Linked DNA regions of Notamacropus eugenii. The protein of the gene in region 1 interacts with the protein of each later gene in a biochemical or structural test. Links are inferred from orthologs where the notes say so. Each region holds a gene or a part of one and is shown in the gene's direction. Other genes may lie near its edges. The genes, in order: SHANK1, CACNA1D and WWTR1.

The links.
Region 2: the proteins of SHANK1 (region 1) and CACNA1D interact in a biophysical measurement, tested with the Homo sapiens proteins (2 studies listed by IntAct, with this or other methods). The link is inferred for Notamacropus eugenii from reciprocal best matches to the Homo sapiens genes SHANK1 and CACNA1D.
Region 3: the proteins of SHANK1 (region 1) and WWTR1 interact in a test that uses a peptide from one of them, tested with the Homo sapiens proteins (2 studies listed by IntAct, with this or other methods). The link is inferred for Notamacropus eugenii from reciprocal best matches to the Homo sapiens genes SHANK1 and WWTR1.

Annotation. Positions count from the first base shown.
Region 1 is NC_092876.1:4,917,464-4,924,783, forward strand, and holds the start of SHANK1 (SH3 and multiple ankyrin repeat domains protein 1), read left to right. Parts: upstream 1-4,221; 5' UTR 4,222-4,466; coding exon 4,467-4,718; intron 4,719-4,987; coding exon 4,988-5,191; intron 5,192-6,096; coding exon 6,097-6,168; intron 6,169-7,241; coding exon 7,242-7,320. UniProt on the Homo sapiens protein: Seems to be an adapter protein in the postsynaptic density (PSD) of excitatory synapses that interconnects receptors of the postsynaptic membrane including NMDA-type and metabotropic glutamate receptors via complexes with GKAP/PSD-95 and Homer, respectively, and the actin-based cytoskeleton.
Region 2 is NC_092874.1:478,296,812-478,304,229, reverse strand, and holds the start of CACNA1D (voltage-dependent L-type calcium channel subunit alpha-1D), read left to right. Parts: upstream 1-4,333; 5' UTR 4,334-4,348; coding exon 4,349-4,415; intron 4,416-6,282; coding exon 6,283-6,339; intron 6,340-6,622; coding exon 6,623-6,941; intron 6,942-7,418. UniProt on the Homo sapiens protein: Voltage-sensitive calcium channels (VSCC) mediate the entry of calcium ions into excitable cells and are also involved in a variety of calcium-dependent processes, including muscle contraction, hormone or neurotransmitter release, gene expression, cell motility, cell division and cell death.
Region 3 is NC_092877.1:338,525,182-338,532,857, reverse strand, and holds the start of WWTR1 (WW domain-containing transcription regulator protein 1), read left to right. Parts: upstream 1-4,580; coding exon 4,581-5,029; intron 5,030-7,676. UniProt on the Homo sapiens protein: Transcriptional coactivator which acts as a downstream regulatory target in the Hippo signaling pathway that plays a pivotal role in organ size control and tumor suppression by restricting proliferation and promoting apoptosis.

The DNA of each region.
Region 1 (7,320 bases):
CCCTGGCCTCATTCTGGTAAGAAGCTATATACAATAGGTACCCAGACAAGTAGAACACAAGATAAATGTGTGTGGTGTTGCAATGTGCATGCACCTTTGGGTCTGAGTAGGAATATATATGTACCTGGGTCTGCATGTGAACAAACGTGTGTGCCCATATGTATGTGAGTACAAGTGTGCTTAGGCCGGAGGGGGGTCAGTTCAGGATGGCTGGCCTTCAGGTGGGGAAGGGGCGGGTCTGAAAGGGCAGGGCGGGGCTCAGTTGTTAGAGGGAGGAAGTCAGCCGCCCCCCACCAGTCTGGACGGCCAAGGGGTAAGGGAAGGGCATCGGAAGGTGGGGGGGTCCGAAGAGGAAAAGGAGGAGAGGGTGAGAAGTGGAGGGCCTCCTAAATCTTCGTGGGTTGGCTGGGGAGTAGGGGAAAGAGGGATCTGGAAGGGGGGACAGGGGGAGGGGCAAAGCCTCAGGTGGGCGGGTCACGGGAGGGGGGGACCCAGTTGGAGGCGGGGAGGGAACGATAGGGCTTGGGGTCCCACTAGCGAAGAGGAGGGGCGGGCGAGGTTTGGGGGCGTGGGGAGGGGCGAGGTCTCTTCTGCCGGCTGGGAGAGGGAGGGAACGGAGAGGGGGAGGAGAGAGAGACACACTCACACGTTCGGAGAGGGAGAGAGGGAGAGACAGAGAGAGAGGGAGAGGGAGAGCAGGCGGCAGGAGAGAGGGAGCAGGGAAGGAAGGAAGGAAGGAAGCGAGGAGGAAGGAGCGGGAGGCGGCAGCGGCGGCGGCGGCTGGAGGAGAAGGAGGAGAAGGAGGAGGGGAGGAATCCCGAAGCCTCCGCCAAGCCTGCCAGCCGCGAGGGGGGCGGGGAAGGGGGGAGCCCGGAGCCCACCCGGAGGCGGACGAGGGGGCGGCCGGAGGAGGGAGGGGGGGTTCTGCGGATGCCCAGGGCCCGGCCCGGCTCGAGGGGGGGGTGAGGTCCCCGGCCCTCCCCTCCCCCCTCCCCCTCCGGGGTGCAGGGGCATGGCCTGAGGGGGGGTCTCTGTCTTCGGGGGGGTGGGGGGTGGGGAGGGAGGGGGGACAGGGGGCCGCGGGCGCCGCCGACTGGGACCCAGCAGCCCCGCCGGTCAGGTAAGCGGGACTGGGGGCGTGGGGGGGGGGGGGCTGGGGCTTGGAACATGTGTGAGTGCGGATAGAAGGGATGGGGGGTGGGCGCTCCGAGCTGTCTTTAGCCGCTGCTTCCCCCATTTGGGGGAGGGGGAGGGCCTGGGTGAGGGGAACCGTTGCCGTGGGCAACGTTGAATTGGGTTACGCCCCAGTCCCCGGTGCCCTGTCCCAGATCCCGAGCCGAGCGGGAAGGGGGTTGGGGCCCCCTTGGAGCCCGTCTCCCCCAAACCCTGGCCTTGCTGCTCCACTCCTACCTTCCTAGCCTCCTGGGTTTGGGTGCTCCTTCTCCGGTGCTCCCCCACCTTCCCTGGCCACTCCCCCATCCCCCTGGTGTCCCTCACCTCTCTCATCCCCGGTCCCACCATCTCTCCCAGCGCCTCCGTCCCCCTTGTCCTCTCTGACCCCATCTGTCTTTGTCTTCTCTGGCCCAGCGCCCCCACCCATCCCTCTTGTCCTTTCTCCTCATTCCCTGTCACCCCCTCTCTCTTATCTCCGTTCCTCGTTTTGTCCTCGGTCCCCTTTGTTCTCCCTCCGTCCCGGTTCCCCTTCCTCATTATCTCTCGTCCCTTCTGCCCCATGTTTCCACTCCCTCATCCCAGGCCCCTCAGAAGCCCTCACCTCATGCTCTCTGTCCGTGGTACCCCCTCCCCTCCTGCCGATGAGGCCTGGGCCTCCATGCCCTTCCTCTCCATCCTCAGAGAGGTGCCTTCTCCTGAGCCTCCCCCCTCTCGTCCCCACTGATCTTTCCCGAGCCTCCCCCCCCCCCGTCTTCCCACTGTTTTCTGCCTCATCTTTCCTCCGGCGCTTTCCTCATGCTTCCTTCCTGCTGATTTTCCTCTCTTTCCCATGGATCCTCATGTCTGCTGCCATCTCTTTATCCCTACCCCCCTCTCTGCTCCCCCTATCTCTCACCAGTATTCTTTACCCCGTGCCCCATTAACACCTCAGTCCCCTTCTCCCATTCCTTCCTTCCTCCCACTTCCATCCCAGCTCTTTCCCTCATTCAGCTCGTACTATGCTACTCTTCTCTTTCCTCTTCCTTCTCTCCTTGCACCCCTCCCCCAAGCCTTTTATTCCCTCCCCCTTTCCCCAGCCTCGGGCCAGTCTCCCCTTTTCCACCCTCGTTACAACCGGGTTCTCTTATCTCTTGCCCTCATTACACCTCCCGCCCCCCCTCCCCCCAGGCTCATCCCTTCTCAGTTCCTGGAAAGCCTCCCTTGTCCACCCCCAGGAGTCTTCTCTTTGCCCTTCCTCCCTCCTATTTCTCTTACCTGCCCCCCATTCCCCACTACTTCCCTCCTCTACCCCACCTCAGTCCAGTTTCTCCTTGTTCTCTCCAGGAGCCTCCTGTCTGCCCTCTCCATTTCTCCCCATCTTCACCACCCTCACTCCCCCTTTCTCTTCTCCCTGAGCTTCAACCTGCCTGGTGGCCTCTCGGCCACCCCTCACCCCATAGCCCCTGTTTCCCCTTTTCTCTCCCCCACCCCCAGGGCTGCCTTCCCCAGCCTGTCTCCTCACCAGCTGCGTTCTAGCTATTCTTAGCTATCGGCGCGCTTGATTCATGCCGCCCCGGCTGTGTGTGCCAGCTCCCGCCCTCAGCCCGGGGCTGGGGGGGGAAGGGGAGAGCCAGTGTTTGTCCAGGCCTTGGGGTGGGGGGTTCTGATGCTAGCGTTGGGAGGGAAGGAGGCAGGTCTGCAGGGAGACGGAGTCAGCTCTACTGCTCTGGGTGGTGGGTTTTTGGGGGGGGGGGTTGATAAGCTGAGTCTCTGGTAGCCCCACTCCCCCCAAATCCATCAGGGCTGGGGTCAGCTGGAGCATTGGGTTGGGGATCATGTGACTAAATGCCAAATCTTGAGGGGAACAGGAGCTGGGAGGAGTGGGGGGGTTGCCTGGGTCCCTGTCAGAAAAAATGTTTCCAACACAATTTGTCCTCCCCTCACCCCCCTCCCAAAGTCAGCTGGGCCTTGGCTGCTTTGAATTTCCATGGAAACCCAGGAGTCTGGCCTTGCTTGGGATGGGGGTGGGGGGGAGGGACAAAAGCCATGAAGTCTTGTTTCTGGGGCTGAGGGGAAGGGGCTAGACAAGAGGGTGATCTTAAGCCAACTCCCGCTTCCACCACAGGACTACTTTCTCACACAACCTCAACTGAGGAGGATGAAAAGGGGGGGAGGAGAGAGATGGAGAGTGAGAAGAGGAAGGAGATAGGGGGGCCAGAGAGAGAGAGAGAGAGAGAGAGAATCTGGTCCCCTCACTATCAACACCACTCCCACTCTGTATCCTCCAAGTCTACCCCCTAGCCCTACATCCCCATGTATTTCTGTCCTAATTGACCCCCCACCCAGTTACCATCATCCTCACCACCATCCCACTGGCACCAGCACCAATGCATCAGTCCTCCTCGGTGCCACACCCACCTCATCCCCATAAAAAGTCTTGTTCCCCCTCCCCATGCTATCACCCTCACGGTCTTCACCTATATCAATCTGGTTGCCCCCTATACCTGCACAGTGTTCTAGTCACTGTCCCCCATTCACCATATTTTCCTCTGGGGACAATTAGCTTAACAGCACCCTTTGAGGCACCTTGTCCAATTCCACACATACTCACAGAGTTACCCCAACTACCAAAGCTGCTGTCCCGCCTTTCTTTCCCTTTTCCTCTCAGTCCAGTGATTCCAATCTCCCCCTTCCACCAGGTGCTGGGACAGGGTGAGGAGCAAGGCCAGGGCAGGAGGGCAGGCTACCTGTCAGGCCACTCATGATCCCACGCCTAAATTTAGCAGCATTTTTGGTGGCTTGGCAAAGTGGGCCAGTAGCTCCCGCGGTGATTTCTCGGTTTCTGGGACACAGCTACGCTGGGTCAGCGGCAAAGTGGGGCGGATGGGGGGGGGGAACCAAGGACAAGGGCAAGGAGACAGCTCAGGGGCTGCGTGGGTGTAGATGACTTGTGGGGGGGCATGTCTGGAGGTGAGGGAGGACAATGACCACCTTGGTACCTGGGCACCTGCTGTGTATCACAGCTGTTGCCCCTAGCCCCGCAGTGCTCCCCCTCTGGTGTGGGAACAAGTCCTCCAGCTGCATGGGAGTCTGTTGTTTCCCTCCTTTGCCTGTGTCCAGCAGAACAGGAGGGAGGAACAGAGGAGAATCCTGTGGACCAAGAGCCCCTGTGTGAGCTCTTCCCCACCCTGGAAGCCCTTCATTGTGAACTCACTGCTCCCACTTCTCCTGCCTTCTCACAACCCTGGGGTGACCACCTGCTCTCTTCCAGCTGCCTGTGATGCTGCGGCTCCCTGTGGCCCCGCGGCCCCACGATGCCCCGAAGCCCCGTGTCCAGCGAGGAGGAGCGCCGCAGTGTGAGCGAGTGCCCCGAAGGGGGCTCCGAGTCCGACAGCTCCCGGGACGGCCCGGGGAGGGTGCCCAAAGGGGCCCGGGGCCGGGCTGGGGGGGCTGGCATTAGCCTGGCCTCTGCCCGCCGCCTGCAGGGTCGCTCCATGTCGGTGCCCGACGACGCCCACTTCAGTATGATGGTCTTCCGGATTGGGATCCCAGATCTGCATCAGACTGTGAGTGGGGGGTCTGGAATGGCCTGGGAGGCACCAAGTCGGGCAGATGTAGGGACCAAGGCATGTGAGGAACAGGAGAGAAGGCCAGACCTCAGGTCCTTCCAGCTCCAGATGCCAGGATCTACAGCTCTCAGGGGATGGAGAGGCTGACTCTGCTGGGGGGAGATCACCACGGGAGGGGGAGGGATGAGCTCTAAACAGCTGCTCCCCTTCCCTCAAAAGGTCCCACCTCCCTTTTGACCTTCTGCACACTCTCTTCCCTACTCCAGAAATGTCTGCGATTCAATCCGGACGCCACCATCTGGGCTGCCAAGCAGCAAGTCCTGTGTGCCCTGAGCGAAAGCCTCCAGGACGTGCTTAACTACGGGCTGTTCCAGCCAGCATCCTCCGGCCGGGATGCCAACTTCCTGGAGGAGGAGAGGCTGCTTCGAGAATACCCCCAGTCCTTTGAGAAGGGCGTACCCTACCTCGAGGTGAGCGGCACCCCTGCTCTTGGTTTGCCCCATTCTCTCTCCCCACCCTCCTCCCAAGGCACCTCCTCCAACTGAGGCACAAGGGCCCCAAGAATCCCCAAGGGCCTTGACCTCTTCTGGCAGAAAGGAAAGCCCTGGAATTGTTGGATTCTAGAGCTAGATGGCACAGCAATTAGAGCACCTGAGTGCCAGTCCTGGAGATAGAGAAATGCCCTGGTATTAGAGATGAGAGAAGGGGAGGGAGAAGGGTCAGGAGGCTTGTTCAAGGTCAGGGAAGTAAGAAGTGGCCACAAGCCAAGGTTCTCCCCCCCTGCTCCCTGCTGTCCTCAGGGCAGCTGAAGGACACACATTTCCAGCTATGGTGGGATTAGATTGAGTCCCTTAGTTTCCTTCTCTGTAAATGTAAAAGGAGAGCTGGGAATGGGTGGTCCCTCTGACCCCTTCCAGCTGGCGCACAGATCACACTCAGTCCCTGGACCCAGGTTCTCCTCATCAGGTAACTATCTGCTTCAGTACACCATTCCAGTTACCCACTGTGGCCCTGATCCCAGCTTCTGCAGGTCATAGTGTACCGCTGGACTGGGAACTGCTGGTGTCCCAGAACAGTCCATGGTCTCCCTCCTGGCCCCTGTGTCTGTCATGGACAGACACTCGGGGTTCTCTCTCTCCTCTCTTTTCACCCTGGGGACCCACATCTCTGCTCCTCTTTACCTGACACTCTTTGCTCACCTCTCCCTTTTGTTCAGCCGGAGCTGGGGGCCAGGCAGGGGCTGAGGTGTACTTCCCTTCCCCTGCCCCCTCCTCCCTCCCTTGTCCCTCCAGTCTTGGACTTCGTAGTCTAGCTCACTGTCCCCCTAATTCTGCCTCATGTCTCTTTCTTTAATTCACCTCCCACTCTGCCTCAGTTTCGATACAAGACCCGGGTTTACAAACAGACCAATCTGGATGAGAAGCAGCTAGCAAAACTCCATACCAAGGTGAAAGAAAGGGACTCTGTCTCTGTCATCTGCTTCCATCCCTGTGATGCCTCTAGCCACCCTCCCATACCTCCCCCTCATCTCCTCCCTCTGTATGTGTGCCTCAGAATTTCTCCCAGGACCCCCCAGTTTCTTCCACTCAATCACACAGCCTTGTGTCTAGTACCTGAGAAACTTAAAGGCATTATAGACACATGAGGTGTTATTCTATCCTGGGAGTCTCCACAATCCCTTCCCCGTCTCACTTCGTCCCCCTGGTAGCCTTCTCCCTCAAGTCCTGACAATTCTCATTATATCTGCTGTATCTTCACCTCACTATCCATATCTCTCATGAACCCCCATGGCCTCTCTCCTGCAATTCCTTATCTATCTACCTAACTAGCTCTCTCTCTCTCTCTCTCTCTCTCTCTCTCTCTCTCTCTCTCTCTCTCCCTCCCCCCACCCCCCATCTATATTTCTGTCTCTTTATATCTCCTATTTCTCTTACATTGAAAGAGGCTGGGATGGGGGTGGGGAGGAGGGTACCAGTGTGAGTCCCACTTCAATTCTTCAAGTAAAAGGTAAACTCTTTGAGGGCAAGGGATATTTTCTTCTTTTCTTTGTATGCCCTAGGACACTGTCTTGCATATGGTGGGTGTTTAATAAATGCTTATTGAATTGTTGAATTGAGTCAACTGACCGCCATATCCCTCCCGTGACCATACCATGCTCCTTCCTCATCTCATGGCTCCTCCAAGCATCCTCTGTTGGCCCCTCATAGCCTTCTTTTTTGACCCCTGGAACCCTTCCTTTTGACCCCTTCCTATCCCTTATCTTTCTTCCATCCCCAACCATTCCTCATTTCATCTCCCTAAGCTTCCCTTCCTCCCTGAGATGGATAGGCCTGGGGATTCCTGAGTCCACCAGAGAAGGGAGGTAGAGGGGATCTGACACTGGGAGACCTTATGTCTCCTACCATCCTCCATCCTTTCTCCAACCTCTGTGCATCATCCCCTACTCTTCCATGGCTCTAAGTATGTTATTCTCTGTGTATATGTGTGTGTGTGTGTGTGTCTGTGCATGTCCTGACCTAGACCGGGTTAAAGAAGTTTCTGGAGTATGTACAGCTTGGCACATCCGACAAGGTGGCAAGACTGTTGGACAAGGGGCTGG
Region 2 (7,418 bases), on another chromosome or scaffold:
TTTTTCTGTAGAGTTCTCAAAATGTTTACCCTGTGTGGCCTGGCTCTCCTGCTGGGCATCTTCTGAAGTCCTGAAGTCCAGTGTGCCTAGTTGGTCTTTGCTGCCAATGCAGACTCTGCCCCTGGCCATATACTGTTGAACCAACCAGAGAAGCTGCTAGAATGCCAGTAAAAAGTCCGAATCCTCTGACCTTCTAGAGCACACAAGGTCATTCTCTGGTGACCGAGGGGACGAGGCTGAGGTACTCTTTTCTCATCTGACAAAGTTATTGGCCATAGTTACCGCAGGTTACCATAAGGCTAGTTACCTTAGTTGGATGGGTTGACTGATTCAGTCTTTCCTTCTCCCTTTCCCTCCTCGCTCCAATCCCACACTTAGACAGGGAAGGAAGGGAAAGTAAACGAGTATGAATACAAAATAAGGGTAGAGTTATGTAAGTACTGTCTCCAACAAAGCCAGAATGGACCAAGGCATGCTAAGGATGACAAAAAGGTCCTGTTTTTAAAATCTGTGTTTGAAGCAGAAAGGGCATCTAAGAAGAGAGGGGATTGTTGTTTGGCATAGATGGCATGATGCCAATATACAATGGTAAGAAGACCCAACTACTCAATTCTAATTTTGCTCAGGTTTTCTCTTCTAAGGAGAATCATCTCTGGATAAAGAACGGCAAGCAGAAAATCTAAAACGAAGCTAAGGTTAGAGGTGTTAAGGCAGCATCTGGCTGCCCTCAGCTACTACAGACAACCAGGCCTGGACCAACTACATTCTGAGACGGTTCAGGCAAGGCAGAAAGATCAGTGAGAGTTTTCATTTTTATTTTATCTTACATGTGAAAACGACTTTTAACATTTCATTTTTTAAAATTTTGATTTCCAAGTTCTCTCCCTCCTCCCTGAGTAGGCAAACAATTGTCTTGGCTATAGATAATACATTTGCTGCCATACAAAACATATCTCCATCCAGTGGGGCTTTAATGAAACCTTGTACTACAGTCGTTGTGTTGGTAGGAACAGAGAGCAGGGAAAGAGTTCCAGAACTATTTTAATTCAAGTCAAGAAATGTTTAATAAGCCCCACCCATGTGCCCCTCCTGATGTGAGGGGGAGGCAAAGACAAGAATGAAATAGCCTTCATCCTCAAAGGGCTTCCATTCTACATGAATAATGGATCTACATGGATCTGTGACCTCTTCCATTTGGTTCTTTCCTCCAGAGATGCAGATGGCCAGTCAGCCATGCCTGTCCATACCTAATGGAGCCCTCTCTCACCAACGTCCCTCAATGACTTTGCCACCAGGGCTCCTTTCAAAGTGGTGGAGGGCTTCCTATCTTTGCCATCTCCAACACAGGAACGGAACCCTCAGGCTGGCTCCTGGTTGGCTTTGGGTGTGACTAGGCCACCTTCTCTTCTTTTTCAAAAATCCAAATCAGGTCAATGCCGCAGCCTTCTCACTCCTACAGTCTGTCTCTCCATTTCTTGTTCAAACACCCTCCAAGGATCACAAACCTCAGGTGAGGCACAAACCAGGAAGATGTATACTCACAAAAGGACAAAAAGCTGTGATGGAGATCAATTTGAACAAGGATTCATTGTGAGGTCTCTCAGATTCTTCTCTTGGTGGATGCCATTATGATGGTTGCATCAAGGATAATAAAGAGCCTCCTGGAAGAGATCTGAAATCCCTCAGAAGAGTTTGATCAGACTATTCACACAGGATAGACCAAGTGGATGAAGAATGTCTTTTATCCAGATTAGGATATGTAGCAGCTTCTGGAGTCTGTCCATCAGTAGTCTGGTGGGTTTAGCATAATGCCTGGCACTTAGTAGGTGCTTCATAACTGTTTATTTACTGATGGATTGATGTACTGTGCGGTCTTTGGGAAATGGCAAAGGTTCTTAAATGACCTCAGACTTCCCATGAAAACAAAAGACCACCTTTTTAATATCAACATTCTATTGATGTTACTGTGTGGTAGCAAGATATGGAACATAACAATCTTTGAAGTTAAAAATGGAAACAATGTAACATGTGCCCTTGGAAGTAAATACAAAGAATATACAGTTATACAAGGTAATTTCTCTCAAAGGGAGAATGCTGATCGCTTAGAGCATCATATACAGCTTTGCCTCTCAGTGAGATTTGAAGGCCACTGGCCAGGCTATAAATTCTAAGAGCTTGAGGTGGAGAAGGAGTGAATTTCATGCCTCAGAGACAATCAGTGCAAAGACCCAGAGTCAGGAAGAGCAGAGTTCAAATCCAGCCTCAGATGCTTACTAGCTGGGTGACCCTCAGCAAGTCAATTCACCCTGTTTGCTTCTGTTTCTCATCTGTAAAATGAGCAGAAGGAGATGGCAAATCACTCCTGTCTCCTTGCCAAGAAAACCTCAAATGGGGTCATGAAGAGTCTGACATGACTGAACAACAACAGCCAGCAGGGCAGTTTGACTGGAATGGGGACTGTGTGACCTGGAGGAATCTGAAACTGGGCTGGCAGGAAGGTGGGAGCCATATTGCCGAGAGCTTTCTGAGCCAGGCTGAGAGTATGGCTGGCCCTCCACTTTGTCCTGGTGATTCTCAGTTTTAATTCTTCAAACAGTACAGTGGAAAGAGCCCTGGCTCTAGAGATAGAGAAGCTCCGTTTGAATTTTGTCTCTGACACTTAGTACCTATGTGATCTTGGGTAAGTCACCTCAGTTTCTTCATCTGTAAAATGGGGAGGTTGGACTAGGTGGCCGCTGAGGACCTTTGCAGCAACAAACCCAGGAGCCCAGGAAGATTTTGAGTAGGAGAAATCAATGGTTCAACGTGCACTTTTGGAATATTCGTTTCCTACCTGTGTGGGGGAAGGGAGTGAGGCAGGAATAGACTGATGAGGAGAGGGTAAGGTCGTAGAAGGCATACTAAGGTCAGGAAGAGGAGCAGGCTTTCGAGTAAAGGGTATCTTTGTAATCCTCGATTTACTCATCAGAAAAAAGAAGGGTTGCCATGGTGGAAGAACTCTGGTTCTGGAGTTAGGAGACTTGGGTTCCAAATTCATTTTTACGTGACCTTGGGCATGTCATTTTCCAGCTTCAGGCCTCAATTTCCTCATCTGTAAAACGAGAAGGTTGGACGAAAGGGTCTGTGACGCCCTTACCAGCCTTGGATCTCAAGACCAGTCAGGTAGAATCTGCCTGGTCAGCTCTCCGAGGGCGGGGCTAGGATCGAGGGACACCTGAGCCCTCCCAGGGGCGGGGTCTCCTTCAGGTGGGCTGGTCTGGAGAAAGTGGGAAGGGGGGCGGGGCGGGCAACTGTCATGCTCTCCATCCCGTCATCGTCGTCCCCCTTCTCCTCTGGCCTCAGAATTGCTAGGCAGGAGGAAGGAAGGCTGAGCCACCAAGGCCACCCGGTTCTGTGTGATTCATCCCCCCCCCCTCCCTCCCTCCCTCCTTCTCTCTCTCTCTCCCGCGCCGAAAGAGTTAACTGCTCTTGTGAGGGGGGAGGGGAGGGGAAGGGGAGAAGTTAACCCCTTCCCACCCAAGGGCCAGAGGCCGGTGAGCCCCAGGAGCCCCGGGCCGGGCTTGCCCCCTACCTGCTGTCCCACTCCAGGCCTGTGCATCCCCCCCAGCCCCTCTCCTGGGGCCAGGGTCCCGGAGGCAGGAGACCCGGCCCGTGCTCGTCCCCCGCCCCATCTGGGGGTTGCGGGGAGGGGGAGGAGAGGGGCCTGGCAGCGGGCCGAGCCGGGAGGAGGCTCCGAGGAGGAGGAGCGCAACGAGCGGAGGGAGGAGGGAGAGCGGCCAGCAGTGGTGGCAGCAGCAGCAGAGGTGGCAGCAGCATCTGCAGCAGCGGCGGCAGCGGCCTCGCGGGGCCAAGGCGGCAGCGGCGCGGAGTCTGTGTGGAGCCGAGCTCCTGCCTTCCTGCCCTCCTGCCGGTCCGCCTGCCGGGGGCCCGGATGTGAGCAGCAGCCCGGCGGCGGGCGAGGGCCGGCCGTGGGGCCCCGGCTGCCTTCGGCGGGGCCGGACCGGGGAAGGGAGGCCAGGAGGCAGCAGCCCCCTGCGCGGCGGCAGGCGCAGGGCACGGGCACCGGCGGGCACGGGCGGGCATGGGGGGCGGCCCGAGCGGCCCCCGCACCGCCCCCGGCCGCGAGGAGGAGACCTAAGCGGGGTCCGAGCCGCCCTTGAGCCCGGAGCTGCCGCCGGGCAGAGCCGAGTGGGTTATCGTAGGGCCGGGCAGGGGCGGGCACCGCGCCGCACCGCAGCCCAAGGGCGCCCCCAGCCCCACTCCCGCACCCCCGCGGCGGGCCGGCCGGCGCCGCCGCCGCGCACGCACACGCACACAGCAGGCGCTCGATAAATGGTCCGGGAGGAGGATGATGATGATGATGAAAAAAATGCACCCCCCGAGGCGGGAGGAGGAGGAGGAGGAGCACGCGAAAGGTGCGGGCTTGGGGGAAGGGAGGATGGAGGCTGGGAGGGATGGAGGGATGGAGGCAAGAAGGCTTGGACGATTGGAGAGAAGGAGGGATAAAGGAAGAGAGGAAAGGAGGGAAGGCCCCGGTCTGAGGATGCTCGGGAGCTTCGTTGCAGCGACATGTTTGGCGGGGGAGGGGCCGTAGGTGGGGGGTGGCCTCCAACCAGATGCAGGGAGCTCGAGGGGCGGCCCTCCGGGGCCGAGGTGACTTTTGGGTTTCACTTTCCCAGCACCGAGTCAGGTGTGTGGGTAGGGAGGGGGTGCAGGTGGAGGCCGGAAGCTGCCCAGGTTGGAGTCCTCAGCTCGGCGCGATCCTCTTTCTCCGTCTCCCCATTCTGCGAGGCCAATGGCTCTGGGGGGAGGCTCATCCTGCTCCCCTTCGGGCCTTTTTCTGTCTCCTATTCTTGTCTCAGTGTGACATTCCCGGCTCCCCCATTGTCTTGGGGGGCGTATGTTTCTGGTCTTCATCTCCTCCATTTCCCATTGCCTGGAGCGGCCCCTGTAACATAGCCATAGCCCCAGCACTTCCTGCAGATCGCCCCCCCGCCCCCCAAGAACCTGGAGAGACACGTGCGCTCCCGCCCTGCCGGCTGTCTGCCCTCCCTCAGCGTTCTTGCTCACAGCTCCTGGCTTTCTGGGCAGGCTGGTTGGCAGGGCTGGGGTCCCTGGGGCAGGCTTGCGCCTCTAACCTGAAAAAAGAGGGAATGCTCCTTTTCCAGGCCCCAGGAGGGGACCACAGCAACCCCATTTAGCTGAAGCCAGAGATGTGTCCTCACTTCCACATCGATACCAACTGGATGGGTGGGCTAGAAGCCTGTGGGCCCGAGGCCACATTCCTTTCCTCGGGTTATTCCAGGGTGGCCCAGAGACTGGGGCCAAGGTAACTGTAGGTGCTCTAGTGACTAACAGGGCAATTTATATGGCCCAGAGGGAGCTTTGGGACGTCTGGCCCTGGGGGTGGTAATGACCCTTTGGCTTTGATACTATTTATTTCCGAGTTGGGGATGCACTTTGTCTTCCCCAGCTATCTGGTTTCCAGGGTTTATTCCTTCTCCATCTCATTGCTTCTCATTGGCTTGACCCCTCTCCCTGCATCTTCCAATATGACTTAGGATGCCCAATGTACTGGTTTTGCCTCCTGTGGCACTGGGAACCATCTCAGCCATGTTCACAGACAGAAGCATCTTTGGAGGGCTACCCTGACGGTTGAGCAGCTGACAAACTCACACAAAACGGCCCTGTGGATGTCTGGGCATCTTGTTTCAGGCTAGCTAGCTAGGGCTCTGGGAAGCTTTTGGAAGGGGGAAAAGGGGTCCCATCTCCGGTTGGGAGGCCTCTGGTCTGGTGCAGGAGCTGTCATTTAAAAAATGCCAAAGGCAGAGATGGTTTCAGAAGCCAGCAGAGGAAATGAATGCCAGGCTTCATGAATTTTCATTTGAAGGAAGCGTGGGGACATAATCCAGATTATTTGCTTTGCCCGGATGACAGGGGAGGACTCTTTTTGCATGAGCTGGAAAGAATGTTTCTTTCCTTGCTGTTGAAAGATGTGGGACTGTCACCCTGAAGATGGACCATAATATGGAACGGAGGCTTCCTTTTTCTTTCCATCAAAAATCTTTGGGGTTTGGGGGGATTTCAGTGCTAACCAGAAGACCTGAACTTGGGGGCAAGGAGCTCACCTCCTGAGAGCTCAGAGCCTGGCATGGAATAAGAACTGATTAAAGATTTTTTCATTCATTTGAAGAAATAGAGGAAAATGTGTTTGGGGGAGACACAGGGATACAAAATTCACTGCATTGTGAAAACCCATTGTTTCTGCCTCCACTTTGGTAGACAGCCCTGGGCTTTGGAAGGTGAAGAATGAGATTTTGGGCGCAGCTATGCTGCTGAGTGAGTAAGAAACTACATTTTAAAAAACAGTTTGGAGGGGGGAAACCTAATAACACACACTTGTTCAGCTAGAGAACTTATTCATGTTGTTCTATCTGTCTGCCTCTCCTTTCCCTCTCCCTCTCTTCCCCTCCCCTCCCCTCTCTGTCTCTCTCTCTCTGTCTCTCTCCCTCTGTCTCTCTCTGTGTCTGTCTCTCTCCGTCTCTGTCTCTGTCTCTCTCTCCTCCTCCTTCTCCTCCTCCTCCTCCCTCCCTCCCTCTCCCCACCTTCTCTCTCTCCTCAGAGGCAAACTATGCAGGAGGCACCAGGAACTCAGTCTCTGGTGACAGACCACCGTTCCGGCCGAAGAGCTCCCAGCACTCCCAGCAGACTGTCCTCTCCTGGCAAGCTGCGATCGATGCTGCTCGCCAAGCCAAGGCTGCCCAGACTATGAGCACCTCCACCCCCCAACCTGTCGGGTCTCTGTCCCAAAGAAAACGTCAGCAATACGCCAAGAGCAAAAAACAGGGGAGCTCCTCGAGCAGCAGGCCAGCCCGGGCCCTTTTCTGTTTCTCTCTGAACAACCCCATCCGAAGAGCCTGCATTAGTATCGTAGAGTGGAAGTATCCTTTTTGTGAGTCGGGTTGGGTTTTTTCACCATCTGTTCCTCCAATATATCCCGTGTGCTCAAAGGATTTGGTCTCTGGAACCACACTTACGGAGCATGGCGGCTTGGAGCCCGAGGGGAAGGGGATAAGCTTGGTTTTATTTTAACCTCCGGCTCCCCAAGTGGGAAAGGGGTTAGCTCTGCAGTTATATTTAGCCTTCTGGGGGGGAGGGGGCTGCACTTGGGGGAAGGCTGTCAGAGATGGCAAAGCAGGCAGTTTGCCTGGGGTGAAGGTTGGGCAGCTGGTGAGAGGCACCGTGTTCAGGCTGCCTCTCCAGTCTCTCTTGGCTTTGGGCTTGGCCAGGCCTGGAGCCCATTTTGGTTTTCAAAAGAGGATTTTAAGAAAATAGACTGATTGGAATTTTACTGGCAAAAGAGACAGTTTGGATCTTTAGAAGAATCCTTACATTTTGATATCTGGAAACTGTTCCTG
Region 3 (7,676 bases), on another chromosome or scaffold:
CCACTAACCAACAGCTATAGGACTTAAGGCCTGTGGCCTCAGCAATGGCTCTGGTGGGAAGCATGGTATAAAGAAAAGGCACTGACTGACTCTGGTATCAAAAGGAGGTGAGTTAGACTCCCAGCTCTGTTGGTTACAGGTTTATGATCTTGTACAAGTTATTCCTCTCTTTGGGTTATCCATAAAATGTGTGTGTGTGGGGGGGCAGGGGTTCTAAAAGTATATTGATAGGCTAAAGGCTTAGGCAGAATCTAAAAATATGAAATTCAGTAGGGACAAATGTAAAGTCTTACACTTGGGTACAAAAAATTAATGTCACAAGCATAAGATGGGGGGAGCATAGTTAGAAGTCTATGTTCTAAAAAGTATTTGGGGGTGTCAATATGAATCAGCTGTGTGATGTGGCAGCCAAGAAAATGCTAAGATGATTTGTTGATGCCTTAAGAGCATAACTTCCAGGAATAGAGAGGGGATAGTTCCATGTCACTCTGCCATCATCTCACTTGGAATATTGTTTCAAGCTTTCACAGTTTAAGAAAAATATTTATAAGCTGAAGATGAACATAGTAAAGAGTCTGTATCATATGAGGATTGAAAGAAGTGGGCATGTTTAGTCTGAGAAGAGATTAAAGGTGGATGAGAGAGTTGTCGTCAAGGATTTGAAGGGGTGGCATTTGATTGAGGGACCAGACTTGGGAAACTTGGTATGGGAAGAATGAACCAGGAGTAGTTGGTAGAAGTTGCAAAAAGGCCCATTTGGACTTGATGTCAGGAAAAACTCCCTACCATTATTGCTGCCCCAAAGTGGAAGAGGTTGGCTGGAAAGGTGGTGAGTTCTTCCTCCTTGGAGATCTTTCTTTCATGCAGAGGTAGGACAACCACCTGGATAAGTGAAAGTAGAAATTTCTTTCTTGTATGTGTGGGAGTAGACAGCTGCTGAGGTCTCTTCCAACTCTAAAATTCTTCGGTTATGGGAGAATCTCTAAATGTTGTCCCCCAAAATCCTATAAGCAAGGAGAGGTATGTTCATAGAGGCCTCCAGAGATAATCCATCTCTGCCTAGATGCTGTAATGTAATTATCACTTGTTCTAGAGCTATACTTTTGTTTGGTTTTTAAATTTTTAATTTGTTCCGAACTTAACAAACACAAAAAAACCCCATGAGCATTTCCCTATATGAAGCAGAACATAAAGTGGATCCTGTATGGACCATGAATTTCTATTTTGTACCTCTTGCTTCTTAAAAACATATAAAATAAATCTCACACATTATTTTTAAAGCTGTTCTGCTATGCTGCTTTCTGTACTCTTCTGTTCATTTAAATCCCTCTTTTCATGACCCCGTTTGGAATTTTCTTGGCAAAAATACTGGAGTGGTTTATCATTTCCTTCTCCAGCTCATTTTATAGATGACAAACTGACACAAATAGGGTTAAATGACTTGCCCAGGGTCACATAGCTAGTAAATATCTGAAGCCAGATTTGAACTCAGAAAAGAGGAGTACTTCCTGACTCCAGACTCAGCACATCTAGCTGCCCCCCTTTTTTTCGTTGTTGCTGCTAACTTGTTTTCTGGGTTCTGCCAACTTCAATCTGCATCAGTGTATAAAACTCTTCCTAGGATTCTCTGAGATAGTCTCTGACAATTTCTTATAAGGCTATTGTACTCCATTACAATCATATAAAACCATTTGAACTCAGGTCCTCCTGACTCCTGCGCTGGTGCCCTATCCACTGTACCACTTAGCTGCCCCAAGTGTCTCACCTCAGACACTTGACACTCACTAGCTGTGTGACCTTGGGCAAGTCACTTAACCCCAACTGCCTCATCCTGGGTCATCTCCAGTCATCCTGATGAATATCTGGTCACCGGATTCACATGGCTCTGGAGGAGAAGTGAGGCTGGTGACCTGCACAGCCTGCCCTCACTCAAAACAAAGTCAAATGCAAGTCATTCTTTCTCTGATGGCATGGTCTTCTTTGACAGCAAAGGACGAACACTCACACATACACACACAACAGTTTAGCCATTCCCCAAATGATGGGCACTCGACTCAGTTTCCACATATTTTCTTTCCTTCCTTTCAGTTCTCTTAAGGAGGCATTCTCTGAAGCTGATTTGTTTTGCTTCCAACCATTCTCTCCTCTTATTATTTATTCTCTTTTTTCTTTATCTGTTTGCTATATTGCTACAGTAAACTCTGTGTATATGTGTTGTATCTTCATTCCTCTATTGTCAGCTTCTGGGCACAGTGTGGTTCCTCTGAGGTCTATCCTGACTCCAGGTCTAGTCCATATCCACTTCACCAACCAATTTCTACACCAAACTTTGAGTGTTTTCAACACTCCTTTACCTGTTACAGGGAAGAGGGAGGTCCATCTGATTCCAACTCTTCCTCTTTGTACACTTATGAGAAATAGTAAGGTCCACCAACTTCTTTCTCCTTTTTCTTTTTTTTAACCCCAGTGTATTTTTTTTTTCCCTTCCCTTCCTTCCTAAAACCTTTAGAAGTGAACCAACCCAACTGAAGGTCCTCTGTTACCCTTACTTAACACCCTCAATACCTTTTGGAGATAATAAAGTTCTGAACAACAATATGTTTCCCTTCCCCCATTAGAATGTTAGCACTTTATGGTAGTATAAAATCTTTTCCCCTACGTATGGTTAGAGACAACCTTAATTGGGAGGCAAGTTTGTGGGGAGTGGAGTTTTCCCCTGATCTGAGGATCTCAGTTCTTATACCTACCACCTGCTCAGCTTCCATTTTTGCAATGGAAATGTCAGTGTCATTCCAATCCTCCCACCCACACTTGGGGCGGGATGGGGTGGTGGCTCGCTCTACTCCTTCCTAGCACCTCGCGTTTGACCCGGTTTCCTCTCAATTCCTAGTAACTTGGAGACAAAGGATTAATTAATGGTTCAAAGGGAGTTTGTTTACTGATCGTTAGAAACGAAGATCTGGTAGGGAAAAGCACCCGGGCACTTGGGGCGCTGTCTACACTACAGCCGACTACCACTCCACAATCCGAGCCCCACCACGCCGAGGAGCTCGGCGCACCAAATATGGTCACATCTGAAAAGCCTCCCAGGAAAAGATTGTTCTTGTTTATTCCACCAGGAGCGCTTGTCTGTCGGGTTCCAAATACTCAATTCTTCGGGGTCCTGGCAGTTCCACGGGACTACTCTGTCCTCCTGTTAAGGGAGAGTGTGGCCCCGTACGTAGCAAATACCTCGAGTGGGAGCCGGGGCTGCGACTTCAGTCTCCTCCTTCCTGGTCCCTTTGGGGCCGCAGCACCCAACTCCCAGCTCCCAGACTCCTCTGTCTCAGTCCACTAGTGCTTTATTGAATAGGGCCACCCACCTCCTTTGATCCAGTCCCAGACCCTATCCAAGGCAGTGGTAAACTCAAAGGAATGTAGATCCTGAACCCGGCAGGAGGAAAGGGAGGGAGGCTTCAGCGAACTTCTCGGCCTCGGATCCCCGGAGGAGGAGAAGAGCGAGGGGGGTGTGTGGGGGGGTGATTTTGCCTCCTCTTACCCAGTAAAGTACTCATCACGCCCAGGGCTAGCAGAAGCCCAGGACCGGGAGGAGGAGGAAGAGGAGGGGCGAGCGGGGGCAGGCAGTCTCTGGACGCGGAGGTCATGCATAATTCATCAGCTAAACTTTCGGCCCCGCCCCTTTTCTGAGGGTTGGAGTTTTCCCTAAACTTTGTTTATGGGACAGTCCGGGAGCAGCCGCGGCCGCTCCGTCTCCTCCTCCTCCTCCTTTTCTTTCTCCTCCTCCAGCTCCGAGATAATCCAAGCTTGATGCTGGGCAGATGGACCGGAGGATGTGAGAACGGAAACCCCTCTGCCAGGTCAGAAGTCAAGTCCCGAGCTGGAAGTCCCGGTCCTGTGTCCACTCCCACTGTGCCCCCAGCCTCTAAGCAACTAGCCTGGGAGTCGCTGACGAACGAACCGACGGATCGACGGACCCCAAGGCCCTGGGAGCCGAGTCTGGTTGCGAGACCTGACTTTGCCAAGTTGGGATCCGGACGGCGCGCCGGGCTCCCAGTCTGCGCCTCGGCCCGCTTGGCTCGGGCCGGCTGCCAAGGCTCCTTTGGGCTCGGTCGCCCCGGGATCGGGTCCTTCGTGGAGCTGAACAGCCTCGGGCTTCGGGGCTTGTAGTGCTCGGAGTTCCTGGCCCTGTCGGCTCGGGAAGCCGCGAACTCTCCCCGGACACTGAGCCGCCGGACCACGTCCTAATTAATCCGCATTTCCACGCGCCCTCCTCCTTCTTGTCCTCCTGCGGGGAACTTCGGGGCCACTGGAAAGTTGCATAATTGTCGAGGAGGCGAGGATTTCCCCTCCCCTCCCCCCCGGGCCGGCCTGACTGGCGAAGGAAGGTCTGTTAGAGATCCTCGGAGAGGGCATCGATCCCCGTCCCGTTCCTCTCCAAGTTCTCTCTGAAGTTTTCATTTTTAGGGGCTGATCCCCAGGCCAGCCCCCGCCCCCGCCCCCGCCCCCGCCCCTTTAATAAACCTGCAGCTCGGTGTGTAAGTGTGTGAGTTAGTGGAGAGTGTGAGATCGGGAGGCGCACGATGAATCCCGCTTCTGTACCCCCTGCTCTGCCGCCCCCGGGGCAGCAAGTCATCCATGTCACCCAAGACCTCGATACAGATCTCGAAGCGCTCTTCAACTCCGTGATGAATCCCAAGCCAAGCTCGTGGAGGAAGAAGATTCTGCCCGAGTCCTTCTTCAAGGAACCCGACTCCGGCTCGCACTCCCGGCAGTCCAGCACAGACTCGTCGGGCAGCCACCCGGCCCGGCTGAGCAGCGGCGGCGGCCCGGTCGCCGGGGGTGCCCAGCACGTCCGCTCGCACTCGTCGCCCGCCTCCCTGCAGCTGGGCACCGGGGCCGGGGCGGCGGCCAGCGCGGCGCAGCAGCACGCGCACCTCCGCCAGCAGTCCTACGACGTGACCGATGAGCTGCCGCTGCCTCCCGGCTGGGAGATGACCTTCACCGCCACCGGCCAGCGGTACTTTCTCAAGTAAGTGATGGGACTGCCTGACGCCTTCCGGGGGTCGCGGGAGGGGTCCGGTGCGTGAGTGTAGGAGTACACAGGTAGGTGCGTGTGCACACACAAGCGAGTACATCTACGTGTGCTTGAATGCATGAGAGTGCTGCGTGCCCCGGTGACAACTCTTTCTCAGGGGTGCAAGAGAGTGGTCCCGGGGCAGGTCGCTGTAGCGTTGGCACTGTGTGCGGTGAGGGGGGTGGAGATCAGGACAGTGGGTCGGGATCTGCTGGCTAGGGAAACGTAAATCCCTGCTGTCGTGGGGGCCTGAAATGAAACTGGGAGGGGGGGGGGGGATTCCCAGGCTGCTTGTAGGGATAACCTTGCAACTAAATAAAGGTGGGAGCGATGGAAAAGATGAGTCGTGTCCAAGTGGGTCCAGAGTAGGGCTGGGAGGCTGGCGAGGGCATCTGTAGATGCCAAAGTGCCAAGGAAAATCCGAGTGGGCAAGTTTCCGTCTTTCAGGGTCTTAAGGAAATGATGGGTTTTTTTGGGGGGGGGGGCGCAAGTTTCTCTTGTCTGCAATTTTCTCCTTGATGGAAAGAAAGTTGAAAAAAGTGAAATGGAACGCTGGGAGGTTGGACCGTTCGCCAGCCTCTCGTTGACACCGTAAGTTACTCTGTTGTTAGAGTAGTTACGGGCTGGATAAAACAATTGTGTGGAAATTAGGTCAGGAGAGTTTCTTTGTGTCAGCTGGGGAGAACCAGAAGACTGTGTACATGGCCGCAGCGCCTTTTGCAAAATTTCTCTCCCAATCACAGCTTTGCTGTGAACATTAAACTTTAATTAAAGTTTGGACAGTTGTAACCACAGACTTCCGGAAAGGAAAGCTGTGGCTGCGGCCTCTCTTCTAAGAAACTAATCATCATGAGAAGAAGGCTTGCAATCTGAAACGTGCCCAAGCTCCCAAGGTCCGACCTTGAGCTTATACCAGGGCTGGCGCTGGCTTAACCTGGGTTCAGATATAGCCCTAGATACGTTCATTAACTGTGTGGCGACAAGAAACCTACTTAACCAAGTGGAATCTAGTTTTCTCATCTGTAAAATGGGGACAAGTACTTCCTCCAACTTTAAAGTGAAATATGGAGTGGATTCATATTTGCGATTTTATTGGTGTAGGGGTTCCTGTGTGGAAATGCCCTTCACCCATGTGGATCAGGCACTCCTCCTTACTTGACTGACTGAGAGTCCTCGAGTTGCCTTCTTTGTTTCACAGCAAAGATATTCCAAAGGTCGGACTCGAACCCAGGTCTTCGGTGCTCTACTCACTATGTCGAGTTGTCTGTCAAAAAATCTATATAAGTGAAACTTATCTGTGGAGTCATTCTTTGATACTTTGGAAGATACTGCATCCCTTCTGATTCACATTCGATGGTCCCTTCCAAATAAACTAATCTGTGCTTATGAATAAATTAACTAATAATTAATAAATTAATCGAGTGCTTATTGCAGTGCCTGGAACTGTTTATTGATTGGTTGCCTACAAGGATGTAAGATTTTTTTGGTTGCTGTTTTCATCTCCTTAACTCATGCTGGTGAATAATTATCTGAGAAGCTCTTTCCTGCCCTTTCCAAACCAAAGTAGGTAAAGAGGCTCAAAAGAAACTAGAGGAGATGTGTAAATTTAGAAAATCCACTCCAAGTTTCACATGGACTATTTGCACCCTACCTGTAGTAGAACATTCCAAACTCCTGTTGGTCTGATCAGCCACAACTGGACGCACTAATTTGACTATAGCATAGTGATGTCATTTTGGTCCTCTTCCAGATGGAAGGACAACAACCAGCTAACCAACCAGATAACCTGGTGGCATTCTGATTAATGAATGCTTGATTTTATTTCTGATGTGGACGGAAAACAGAGTCACTGGACTGAAGCGGATGTGTTTTGTCAATTTGATTCCCAACGTAGTGTCCTTGAGCAACATAATGACAAGGTACAGGGGCTGGAAGCCCACCTCTGACAAGAGGAGTTTGATCATAGGTCCTTTTTCTTCTCTGAACCTCAATTTTCTCATCTGTAAAATGAGCATCATATTCTAGGGACTAAAGATGTCCTAGGTTTGAGCTGACGATTCAGTGAAATCCTTTGGGCAAAGAGTTTTGCAAACCTTAAAAGTGATAAAGAAACCCCAGCTTTTAATATAGATGGTAACACTGCACTGACAGGGAATGTTTTAACTTATTAATACCCACTGTAAGTCAAGAATACTATTTATGCTCATATGCATCAGGGTACAATAACTTCGTCTTAAAGGAGGCCCTTTGGGCTTCGCTTATACCATTTTAAAGGTCAGGATGCCTATAAAATTTGTCATTTTAATTTTGCTTAGGTAATGAAATTTTCAAAGATGTTAATGTAATTTTTATAGGCATATACTTAGTCAGGATTAAGTGTCATGGTGTAGTGGAAAGAGAACTGGCTCTGTAGTTGGAAGATCTGGGTTCAAATTCCTACCCTTGTTTCAGCCAACTTTTGTGTAACCTTGACACAGTAACTTTACCTCTCTGGGTCTCAGTTTCTCACCTTTATGAAGTAGAAGGATTAGTCCAGATCTCTCCCACCTCCCTCCCTGCTCTAATATTTCATGAACCTTTAATGAAATTTTGAGCCCATTTT